Linked DNA regions of Arabidopsis thaliana. The protein of the gene in region 1 interacts with the protein of each later gene in a pairwise test. Each region holds a gene or a part of one and is shown on either strand. Other genes may lie near its edges.

Evidence for each region.
Region 2: the proteins of GOS11 (region 1) and CPK25 interact in a protein complementation assay, tested with the Arabidopsis thaliana proteins (one large-scale study listed by BioGRID).

Annotation. Positions count from the first base shown.
Region 1 is NC_003070.9:5,457,614-5,462,152, forward strand, and holds GOS11 (golgi snare 11), read right to left. Parts: upstream 2,747-4,539; 5' UTR 2,477-2,746; coding exon 2,438-2,476; intron 2,188-2,437; coding exon 1,948-2,187; intron 1,750-1,947; coding exon 1,585-1,749; intron 1,455-1,584; coding exon 1,341-1,454; intron 1,219-1,340; coding exon 1,105-1,218; 3' UTR 785-1,104; downstream 1-784. Other genes in the region: AT1G15870 (Mitochondrial glycoprotein family protein), read left to right, coding at 53-375, 470-632; AT1G15885 (uncharacterized protein), read left to right, coding at 2,937-3,077, 3,357-3,482; AT1G15890 (Disease resistance protein (CC-NBS-LRR class) family), read left to right, coding at 3,793-4,539. UniProt on the Arabidopsis thaliana protein: Involved in transport from the ER to the Golgi apparatus as well as in intra-Golgi transport. It belongs to a super-family of proteins called t-SNAREs or soluble NSF (N-ethylmaleimide-sensitive factor) attachment protein receptor.
Region 2 is NC_003071.7:15,065,999-15,071,226, forward strand, and holds CPK25 (calcium-dependent protein kinase 25), read right to left. Parts: upstream 3,362-5,228; 5' UTR 3,139-3,361; coding exon 2,280-3,138; intron 2,196-2,279; coding exon 2,052-2,195; intron 1,977-2,051; coding exon 1,824-1,976; intron 1,756-1,823; coding exon 1,640-1,755; intron 1,557-1,639; coding exon 1,386-1,556; intron 1,297-1,385; coding exon 1,177-1,296; 3' UTR 616-1,176; downstream 1-615. Other genes in the region: AT2G35900 (Mal d 1-associated protein), read right to left, coding at 4,205-4,574. UniProt on the Arabidopsis thaliana protein: May play a role in signal transduction pathways that involve calcium as a second messenger.

The DNA.
Region 1 (4,539 bases):
TTGATTCACTGCCTGAGCTGAGCTGAGCAATTGTTTGTACACAAAATTTCAGCCTGAAGAGAGTTTTGGTCCATTCACGGTGGATGAGCGTCCGGGGGAGCAGTGGATTAGCTTGAGAAGAAAATTTGGGGAGAAGGAAGATATTAAGATTGAAGCAACCATGTTTGATGGATCAGTTCCATCATCAAAATCTACTACCAGCGACCCTGAAGATGTTCAGCTTCATATTACTTTCATTGTCAACATCTCTAAGGGTGATGGTGAGACCTTAGAGATCATGTGTTCTGCTTGGCCTGATACCATACAGATCACCAAGTTCTTTGTTCGTAAAAGCAGCCAGAACTCACCAAATGCCTATATTGGACCTGAATTCCAGTACTGTGATTTGATCACTTCTTTTTTAAACATAAACATTTTCTTTTTGTTTCTGATACGATGGAACTAAACTGTCTTTTGTTCAATTTTACAGGGAAATGGAAGATGAACTTCAAGACTCGGTTTATCGATTTTTGGAGGAAAGAGGTATAAGTGATGATCTTGCTGAGTTCTTGCATCAGTACATGAAGAACAAAGATAAAGCTGAGTATATTAGATGGATGGAGACTGTTAAATCTTATGTTGAGCAAAAATAAAATCTTCTGCCGACCACATTCTTAAGCAGCCAATGAATGTTCCCTTGGATATATGATTATATGGCTTAGATGGACTTTTATTGGCATGGTTCTTAGTTTCCAGAGGTAATGTGACATTTAAATCTAATATGGATTAGTTGCGAGCATATATATGATAATGATTATATTAAAGCCGTATTGCATGTAGGCGCCATGTACCCTTTTCAATGCAGCAACATACTCCCACAAATAAAAAGTTACAAGATGAGAGAAACAGATGGTTGTACTGTATGTGTGGCATCTCCAAAATAACTCAACATTTAACAAGCTCGTCTAGACTGCAAAGACAGGGATGAAATTTTCTGTACACAATATTTATGTTTTTGATCTTTAGATTCTTTACTAGAACACCGATAATTGCAGAACAAATTGACATCATGGGAAAACCAGACGTGGCCCAACATAAAGATGAAACGAAAGAAATGGGCAAATTCTACTTGGTTATCCAGTAAATGAATATGAGAAATGTGCATACAGCCGCAACGAGTGAAAGAATGATTGTATCCATCGACTTTTTCCTCTTTATCGCTGCCAGAATAGTGTTCACCTGCAGTGGTTTTAACCATCCAATTGCAGGGTGAGATATAGGATAAACACAGGCCATAACCGAACATAAAGAAAGCAACGAGCAAAAGAGTGTGTAAATAAGACTAGGAAAGCTCTTCGTACCGTAGGTAGACGGCTGGCGACATTGCTAAGCTTTGAGTTGATGCCTCCAAAAGTTGAACGTTGAAACACAAGCGTACCGAGTGTTGCCTGAGCTTGTGAAATGACACCGTCCATCTGCACCGTTTATATAATAGTCAGCTCACATAAGTCATGACGTGTTCGATTAACTTGAGAAAGCCAGGCCTATTGTACGCTACAGCTGTAGAGTCTAACAAAGGTTAATCGCAAAGGAGAGTTTATATACCTGAGCTGTATTGCGGTTGATTCCCATATGTTCCTTGATCAGGGCTTGTTCAGACCCATATCCATCTTCTAAATCTAATCTAGTCCGATCAAATTCTCTAAAGTCCTCAAGAAGTGAAGCATGCTCTTGTTTTGCTCTAAGACTGGAGCGGTGTCGATAAAACTCCTGCATTTTGAATGAGTCATACATACAGGAACAAGACTGATTTACAACGAAGGTTGAGTCATAAACTAGTCCAAGAGCAGAGTGTGAACAGATGGTTAAAAAGATAACACTCATTTCATTACTAATCAGTATATAATCAACACAAGCTATAGAATAAGGCAAATATTCAAATGGTATGAGTCAGGAAAGGAACAGTACCTGTGTCAGATCTTGAAGGATCTCTTGATGTCGAGTTAAAGTATGGGAGACCATTTCTGACCCACCAGAAGATACCCATGCTTGCATCTGAGCATTAACTTGTTGCAGTTGCCTAAGAAGTAAGTCAATCCCAGCTTCAAGATCACTCTCATTACCATCTGATTTTGATAAAGCCTTTGTGGAAACAAGTCTACGATATGAATGCATCTGCTCGTCAAGCTGAGCTTCAATCTTTCTAGCCTGTGGGATTCAATACAACACAAAGCTTATTCAAATATCAATTGGATCCAGTAAAAAGATAAATCATTGAGAATTAGCCAACAAAACCAATAAATTCCCCAATTCGAATCGAACCCAGAAGATTGATATCAATTCAGACCTCAAATATTCGAAATTCAAGACAGATTTTCAGACACTACCAGCTTCCCCAACACAATTACCTAGTAGCTTCGAATCAAACGACACAATAATTTTATAAAAAGAAAAATACCTGTTTCCGTAAAGCATCCCAAGAGCTAGGCACATCCATGGCGTCTACTGAATCTGTCAAAATCTCTCCTTTATGAAAGCGGATCGTGTCCTTTCCGGCAAGAGACCTTTTTCCGATATAAATCAGATGCGACAATCTTCTTCCTCGTCCTCGTCACCAAAGGTTTGAGCCCCTAAAAGATGCGATCCAATTGGTTCGAAATTGAGACAAGTAGTGAACGGAACGGATCGGATTGAGAGAAGGATAGAGTTGGTTCGGAGACGCAGACAGAATTTCTGCGTACCCCTTCAACGGAAAATTGCTTTTCAGTTTTGCGTAATCACAAATTAATTAATTCGATGACCTGAGATTCGGCGGGTATAATCCAGTGTTTTCCACCCTACAGTAAGTTTATATATAAGTTGACCTACACATTTAGTCAAACTTGCAAGCGATACGTGGATAATAGTAAACCTTAACATAAACGACATCGTTCTCCAGTAAAAATAGACCCGGCTCGATGGCTCGAGTCCTAGAAGCTTACCGGGTTCTCTCATCAAACTGCTCCATTCGGATATACTTCCACTCTCAAGTCTCACTCCCTCACAATCAATTCAAGCGATTGCCGCCCGTCGTCGCTTTCAAATTTGTTCTTCCGCCGGTAACTAATTCTCTTTCGCTTTGACTACGCTTTTGCTTCACTGCTTCGATCTCGTTCGGTTTCCTTCTGTTTGCTTCTTCAGAAATTCCTCGAATTGCTTTTGATCAATCTCAACTCAATCTGTGGATTACTATTTCATCGTGTTTTCACTTGTTGGTGCTCGGGAAAATTATGCAATTTTTCGAGTTGTTAATGGCTTTAGTTCTTCGTGTTTGCTCTTTAATGAATTACGAACTTTTTCCAAAGAGAAATAAGGTCTATTTTTTTTGGTGAAAGTAGGAGATTTTTTATGGCGGAGGGACAATTGACGAACATATCGGAGATGATACTGAAGAAGAGGAAGAAAGGGATGAGCTTGAATTGAGTAATTACGGCAACAATTACAGTAGCAGAGTGTTACATTAGTTGAAAGTTGAAAGATAGTTGTGCTCTTCATATTTTTTTATGGTCAATATCATTTTGTGGATAGAAAACTTTATCTTATAGTTTCTTAATGTTTGATGGTCAATGTCATTTTGTGGATATCTGAACACGCATCTTGACTTTTCGTTGAAGCTGCCACTTTCAATAAGATATTAGAACTTGCAGTCTGACTTTTAAATTTTCTAATCAATATCAGGAGGGCACGATTGTACTCTTTTTCCTCTTCTCCATTCAGTGCTCCTTATCTTGTGTTGTTTCCTGCATCGTCTTGATATTTGAAAGTTTGAGTAAGATGGGAAACTGTGTAGCACTAGAAATATCTTGTGATCAAACGTTGAATCATGCTTGTGGCTGCTTATTTGGTGATCGGAATTACATTCTCAAGATGGAGGCTAATCTCGAGGCTCTGCAGAATACTATGCAAGAGCTCGAGGAGAGAAGAGATGATCTGTTAAGAAGAGTTGTCATAGAAGAAGACAAAGGTTTGCAACGGCTTGCTCAAGTTCAAGGTTGGCTTTCAAGGGTTAAAGATGTTTGTTCTCAAGTCAATGATCTGCTGAAAGCTAAATCAATTCAAACTGAAAGGTTATGTCTCTGTGGATATTGTTCTAAGAATTTCATATCTGGCCGCAATTACGGAATAAATGTACTGAAAAAGTTGAAACACGTGGAAGGACTTCTAGCTAAAGGAGTTTTTGAAGTGGTGGCAGAGAAAATTCCTGCGCCTAAGGTGGAGAAGAAGCATATCCAAACCACAGTTGGGTTGGATGCAATGGTCGGAAGGGCATGGAACAGCCTCATGAAAGATGAACGAAGAACTTTGGGTCTTTATGGTATGGGGGGAGTAGGTAAAACCACGCTCTTAGCTTCTATTAACAACAAATTCCTTGAAGGGATGAATGGATTTGATCTTGTTATATGGGTTGTGGTTTCTAAAGATTTGCAAAATGAAGGCATTCAAGAACAGATTTTAGGAAGACTAGGTCTTCACAGGGGATGGAAACAAGTTACAGAAAAGGAGAAAGCCTCTTACATATGC
Region 2 (5,228 bases), on another chromosome or scaffold:
AAATTAATTAAAATTATAAGACAACTAATCAGTAGATTTCCCACCCTATAATCACAGATACTCAAGATACTTAAAAGTCTAAACTCCCAATGTTTAGGTTGCTAAATTTATGTTGCAATCAACAAAAAAAGGGTCAATAATGTGGTCAAAAGAGTGAGTGATAAAGGGGTATAATGGTAAATAGAAAGCAAATGATTGAGGAAGAAGTGTTTGGAGAACGTGGGAGAGAAGAAGAGAGAGAGGAGAGGGTCTCCGTTACAGCGAACCATAAGCCCCACGACATACCCGCCGCGTGTGGACCCCATTACTTCGTCCGTTATTGCTGACGTGTCGAGACCGTTCCACATGATTGGTTTTCACGTTTGGGTCCCATGTTTTCGCCGCCAGCCGCGCGTGAGCTGTCTCGACCAGAAATGACTGTTCCGTCCACGTAGGCTTGTGTCTGAATTCTCCACCGTCAGATCTTTTTGGACCCTTCTTTCCAAGATTTTTATGCTTTCCAATGTTTTCATGCACGTTGCAATCATTCAGGATTCGTCCAAACATTTTACTATATGGTTGTTTTGAGATAACATGCTTAAGATAATGGCTACTATTTCTAAATTAAGTTTGTTTGGGGGTTACATAATCACTCTTCTTATTCCTAATATAACCCTCAAGGTCAATACACAAAGGCAAAGTATTGAGAGCATCAACATCACCTAAGTTTTATTGTGTCTCCTTATCCTTTCTACTACAACTTCTATATACAACAAAACACATCTTTCATTTTTTTTTTTGCTCTAACTTTTATAAGAACATGATAAACAAAACAAAAAAAAACCTACACATCAAAATCATTTGACTTTCCATCTATCAACTTATCCATCAACTTACTTTCTTGAGGTCTCTTTGTGTCCATCTTCTCCTTGTTCTGCCTCCTCTCTTATAGTCATTTGTTGTGGCTCTTTTTGTAGTTTCCTACAGTCTAAAGTGTAACAAGATAAAGATTATATATAGATTATGTTTTTTGAAATGTTGAAATACACTAGATCTTTGATTAGGAGACTTTTATAACAACAGCTCTAAGAGACTAAAGTGAGTGAATGCATCACATTTACTTACATTCGTCATCATCAGTTTTGAGTACTCATTACACTTCTTCAGACAACAACAATATCTTTCACGCCAACTTCATTACACTTTTGTTGATGATTCTAAACGATCATTTGCTTCCTCTTCTTGTATTTGTCTCAGTCTTACAATCGCCTCTATGAATTCGTTGTAGTCTACTGTGTCTTCCAAGTGCACATCCGTCTAAAAATGATCCCAGTATGTAAGAAAAACTATGAATCAAACTAATTACTAAATCCATATATATTAAGACAGTACTAGTGTCTACTTACTGGTATTTGCATAAGACTATTGATGTCAGAGTTGTCAAGATTTGTGTTAAATCTTTCAAGACCGTTTTTGAGTTCTTTATAAGTTACTCGCCCGCTCTTTCCACTGTCTATAGTCTTGAATGTTTCTCTGAGCTCGTGAATCTCTTCTTCGGAAAGCCTTTCTGCAATCACCTGCAAGTCCAACACTAATAATCAGATATTCTCTCATCAAAATCATCTAAAACAAATCAAAAAGGTTTTATTGTATGTGGTACCCTTAAAGCCATCTTCTTAAGCTTGTCTGTTGCTGAAAACTTCTTCAAGCGACTCAACACAGTTGTGTCAAGTGGTGTATCTGGTGCATTTCCTTCATCCCTAATCCATGGATGGCCTGAAAATAAAATGATTTAAGTTTTATAACTGCCTAAACTATGGAGTTTCATGATTCTAGGGACTTACATAATACTTGTTGAGCAGTGAGTCTTTGTATGGGATTTCTTTCAAGCATCTTTCTGATCAAATCTTTTGCGCTTTCAGAGACTTGTGGCCAAGGATCTGATGTCAAATCAAGCTCACCCTCCAGAACCTCATTGAAGATTTCTTCTTCCGTTTCTGCTTGATACAACAAACACACATTATAACACCTCCAAAAACATATATAGTTTGTGTTCAAAGTAACAATCTTACCTCCCCAAAACGGAGCTGAACCAGACAGTAACACGTAAATCATCACACCTGCGCTCCATATATCTGCTTCTGGACCGTAATTCTTGTTCAGAACTTCAGGCGCAATGTAGTAGGGACTTCCAACCACATCCGTAAAGTTTTCTCCTTTAAACAACAATACACATATCTCAGGATAACATCTATCTAATGTGAGAGTAAAAAAAAAACTCTGTTTTGTAAGAAACATACCAGGCTTGAGAAACATAGATAACCCGAAATCAATAGCCTTAAGAGGCGAATCCTCGTCATCGTTGACAAAGAGAAAGTTCTCAGGTTTAAGATCTCTGTGCATCACACCTAAAGAATGACAAGTCTGAACCACACCAAGTATGACTTTAGCCAAATGAGCAGCTTTTCTCTCAGAGTAATGCCCTCTCTCCACTATCCTATCAAACAGCTCACCTCCTCTACACAGCTCCATCACCATGTGAACAGCCACTGAGTCCTCATAAGCTCCTTTGATGGAGATCACATTTGGTTGCCCCAAGAGATGTTTCATTATCTCAATCTCTCTTCTCACATCCTCCACGTCTTCTTCGTTCTCTAGCTTCCTCTTCGGAATCGACTTGCATGCATATTCCTCCCCTGTTCCTTTCTCAACACACACAAACGTAGTCCCAAACTGTCCATGACCTAACTTGCTACCCAAGTTATAATATTCCTTCAAATGCCCTGTTTTGGTCTTCAACACTGACTCTGCTTGTAGCCCTGCACTCATCAGTCTCCTCACATTGTGAGCCTTTCTTTTACTGTTAGCACACGCAATCGCTCGCTTCTTATACTCTTCGTCACTGCACTTCCTTCCTCCTTGTCCCTGACTCGTTTGCTTCTGCGCAGGTTTCTCTTTCCCCTCAAGTAATTTAGGGTCACCATGAGTGTCATTAAGCTTGGTTTTATCATCATCCTTGTTCATTAGCATTGGCTGAGGAGGCTTGTCCTGGAGTTGTGGCTTCAAGGGATGATCCATGATGAGATCTGTGGGACGAACCCATGAATTCGATTTCGTATCCACACAATTGTTGACCATATGAACACATACATTCCCCATTTCTACAATCTAAATCTCCCAATCAACTATATGCTATACAATAATCTACACGAGAAACGTATACAGAGAATCGTAAAAAGATAGAGAGGAAAAGTCCCTTTTCTTCCTTTTTTTCCTTCCTTTTCACGCAAGAGAAAAAACCCTTAACATGATCTCATAGAGACAAAGATCTCTCCTATCTAACAACATAACCACTTCCATGAAGAAAGACAGATAAATCTCCCACAAATGAATTCTGATCTAAGGGAGAAAGATCTCGAGGTCGGCTGAATAATTTAATCAATTCTCACAAAATGCTACGAATCATCTCCTTTGGTAAGAAACACACACAATGCACAAAATGAAAAACGAAGAATAAGAAAATGGGAATTGAGAAGGAAGATGATTTGACGAAAAGGAATTGGGTCTCACGTCGTGACTGAATTTTTTGGGGGGATTTATTAGGGTTTTTGGCCTTTCTCAATTAAATAAACTTGTTTGATTCTCTCCTCTAACATATGACTCTGTGAGGTTGTGTTAGAGATTATTTAGTGTCTGTGTGAATACATTGATTAACAATTTGGTCCCTTTAAACTCCGTAATTAATTAATTGTTAAGAAAAATCTTCAAACTCAATTGAAGACCAAAAAAGTATATTTCTTGTTATTTTCTAAATTACTCCATGCCACAAAATGGTAACCAATCTTTCAAAAAACGTAAGGTTAGATTTCAAATCTTTAATTCCACTCAAGCATATCACTCTACTTTGACCATTATTATTTTATTACCATTTAATGAAAGGTACGAATTGTATAAGGTAACATGTTTAAAAATGTAAAATAACTTTTAAGACAAAGTGATAATAAAAGACACAAGCATAACACATAGTAATATAGTAGTATGATGATATTGATAGATAGTAGTAGCACCCACTCGGAAAAACGTGCAAGCCGCTAACATTAGACTACAATCCCCACGCTTCTTAGAAAGTCACATTACATTTTTAAGATTATATATGCCAAAAGCTAGAACAAGACGACCTTTGTGAAAAAAAAAAAGAAGAAGAAGAAGAAGCAGACGACCTTTCTCAAACGTCCTTGGCCAAGCCCGAGAGATCAATCTCGCCAGAGGAGTGTGGTCGTGTAGGGGCAGTTTCGTCATTGCGGTGCTCCTCTACCTTGGGATGGTTTTCAATGGGTATCCCTCCTCTCCTGGTGCTTGGGTGATGGTCTCCCATGATATCAAATAAGCTGCTTGTCATCTCTTCAGCCGCATCAAAGAAACTCTTCATTCCGCTCAAGAAATGGCGTTCGATGGCGTCTACATCTCTGCGGAGTCCCGGGAAGTTTAGCGGGTTTTTATCCTCAAACTGATTCGGAAGAGCGGATCTTCCCACCATCTGGTCTGTCACATCCTCTTCTGTGTGCTCTGTGTTGGATTGAACGACTTCAGAGGGCCTAAAGCAGATACAGAACCAAGGGTAAATCGATTTAGTGATTGTCTAGAGGCGCGAAAGGTAACAAACAATCAAGGTGCTTGAACATTTTAATGGCTCAATCTCAAAATCACACATGAAAGGGCGAGAAAGAAAACAAGAGTTGTCTTCCAAAGGAAAGCATTACATTTAACATGGAATAACTCATATCACAGGTAGCAAACAAACAAACATGAAGCTCGCCGAATACACAGAAACTGTGATGTGATACTCTATGCATCTTCTTCTTATATGAGAATACTCCACTTACTTAACCCAAAAAAGACTAACCAGCAGTTGCTCCACTTACTTAACCAAAAAAAACATGCAAGTTATAACACTACAAAGATGATAAAATCATAAGAACTTTTATAATGAAACATTTTTACCATAATGGTTCAGTGATAGAGAGTCCTTTCGAAGAAAACAACATCAAACCACAAGAAGTAAGCAATGTAACCATTCCAGTGCATAAACACAACTATCTTTCTGCAATTCATATTAGTAAGCTTAGCATCAGAAACACAAATTTAGAGTCAATCTTTAACTATTGGCTTTTAGCTTTTACATAACCACAAAAACGTCAAAATTTTTTAACTCAGAGCTCAAAACAAACACACTTCATCTATTTGATCTA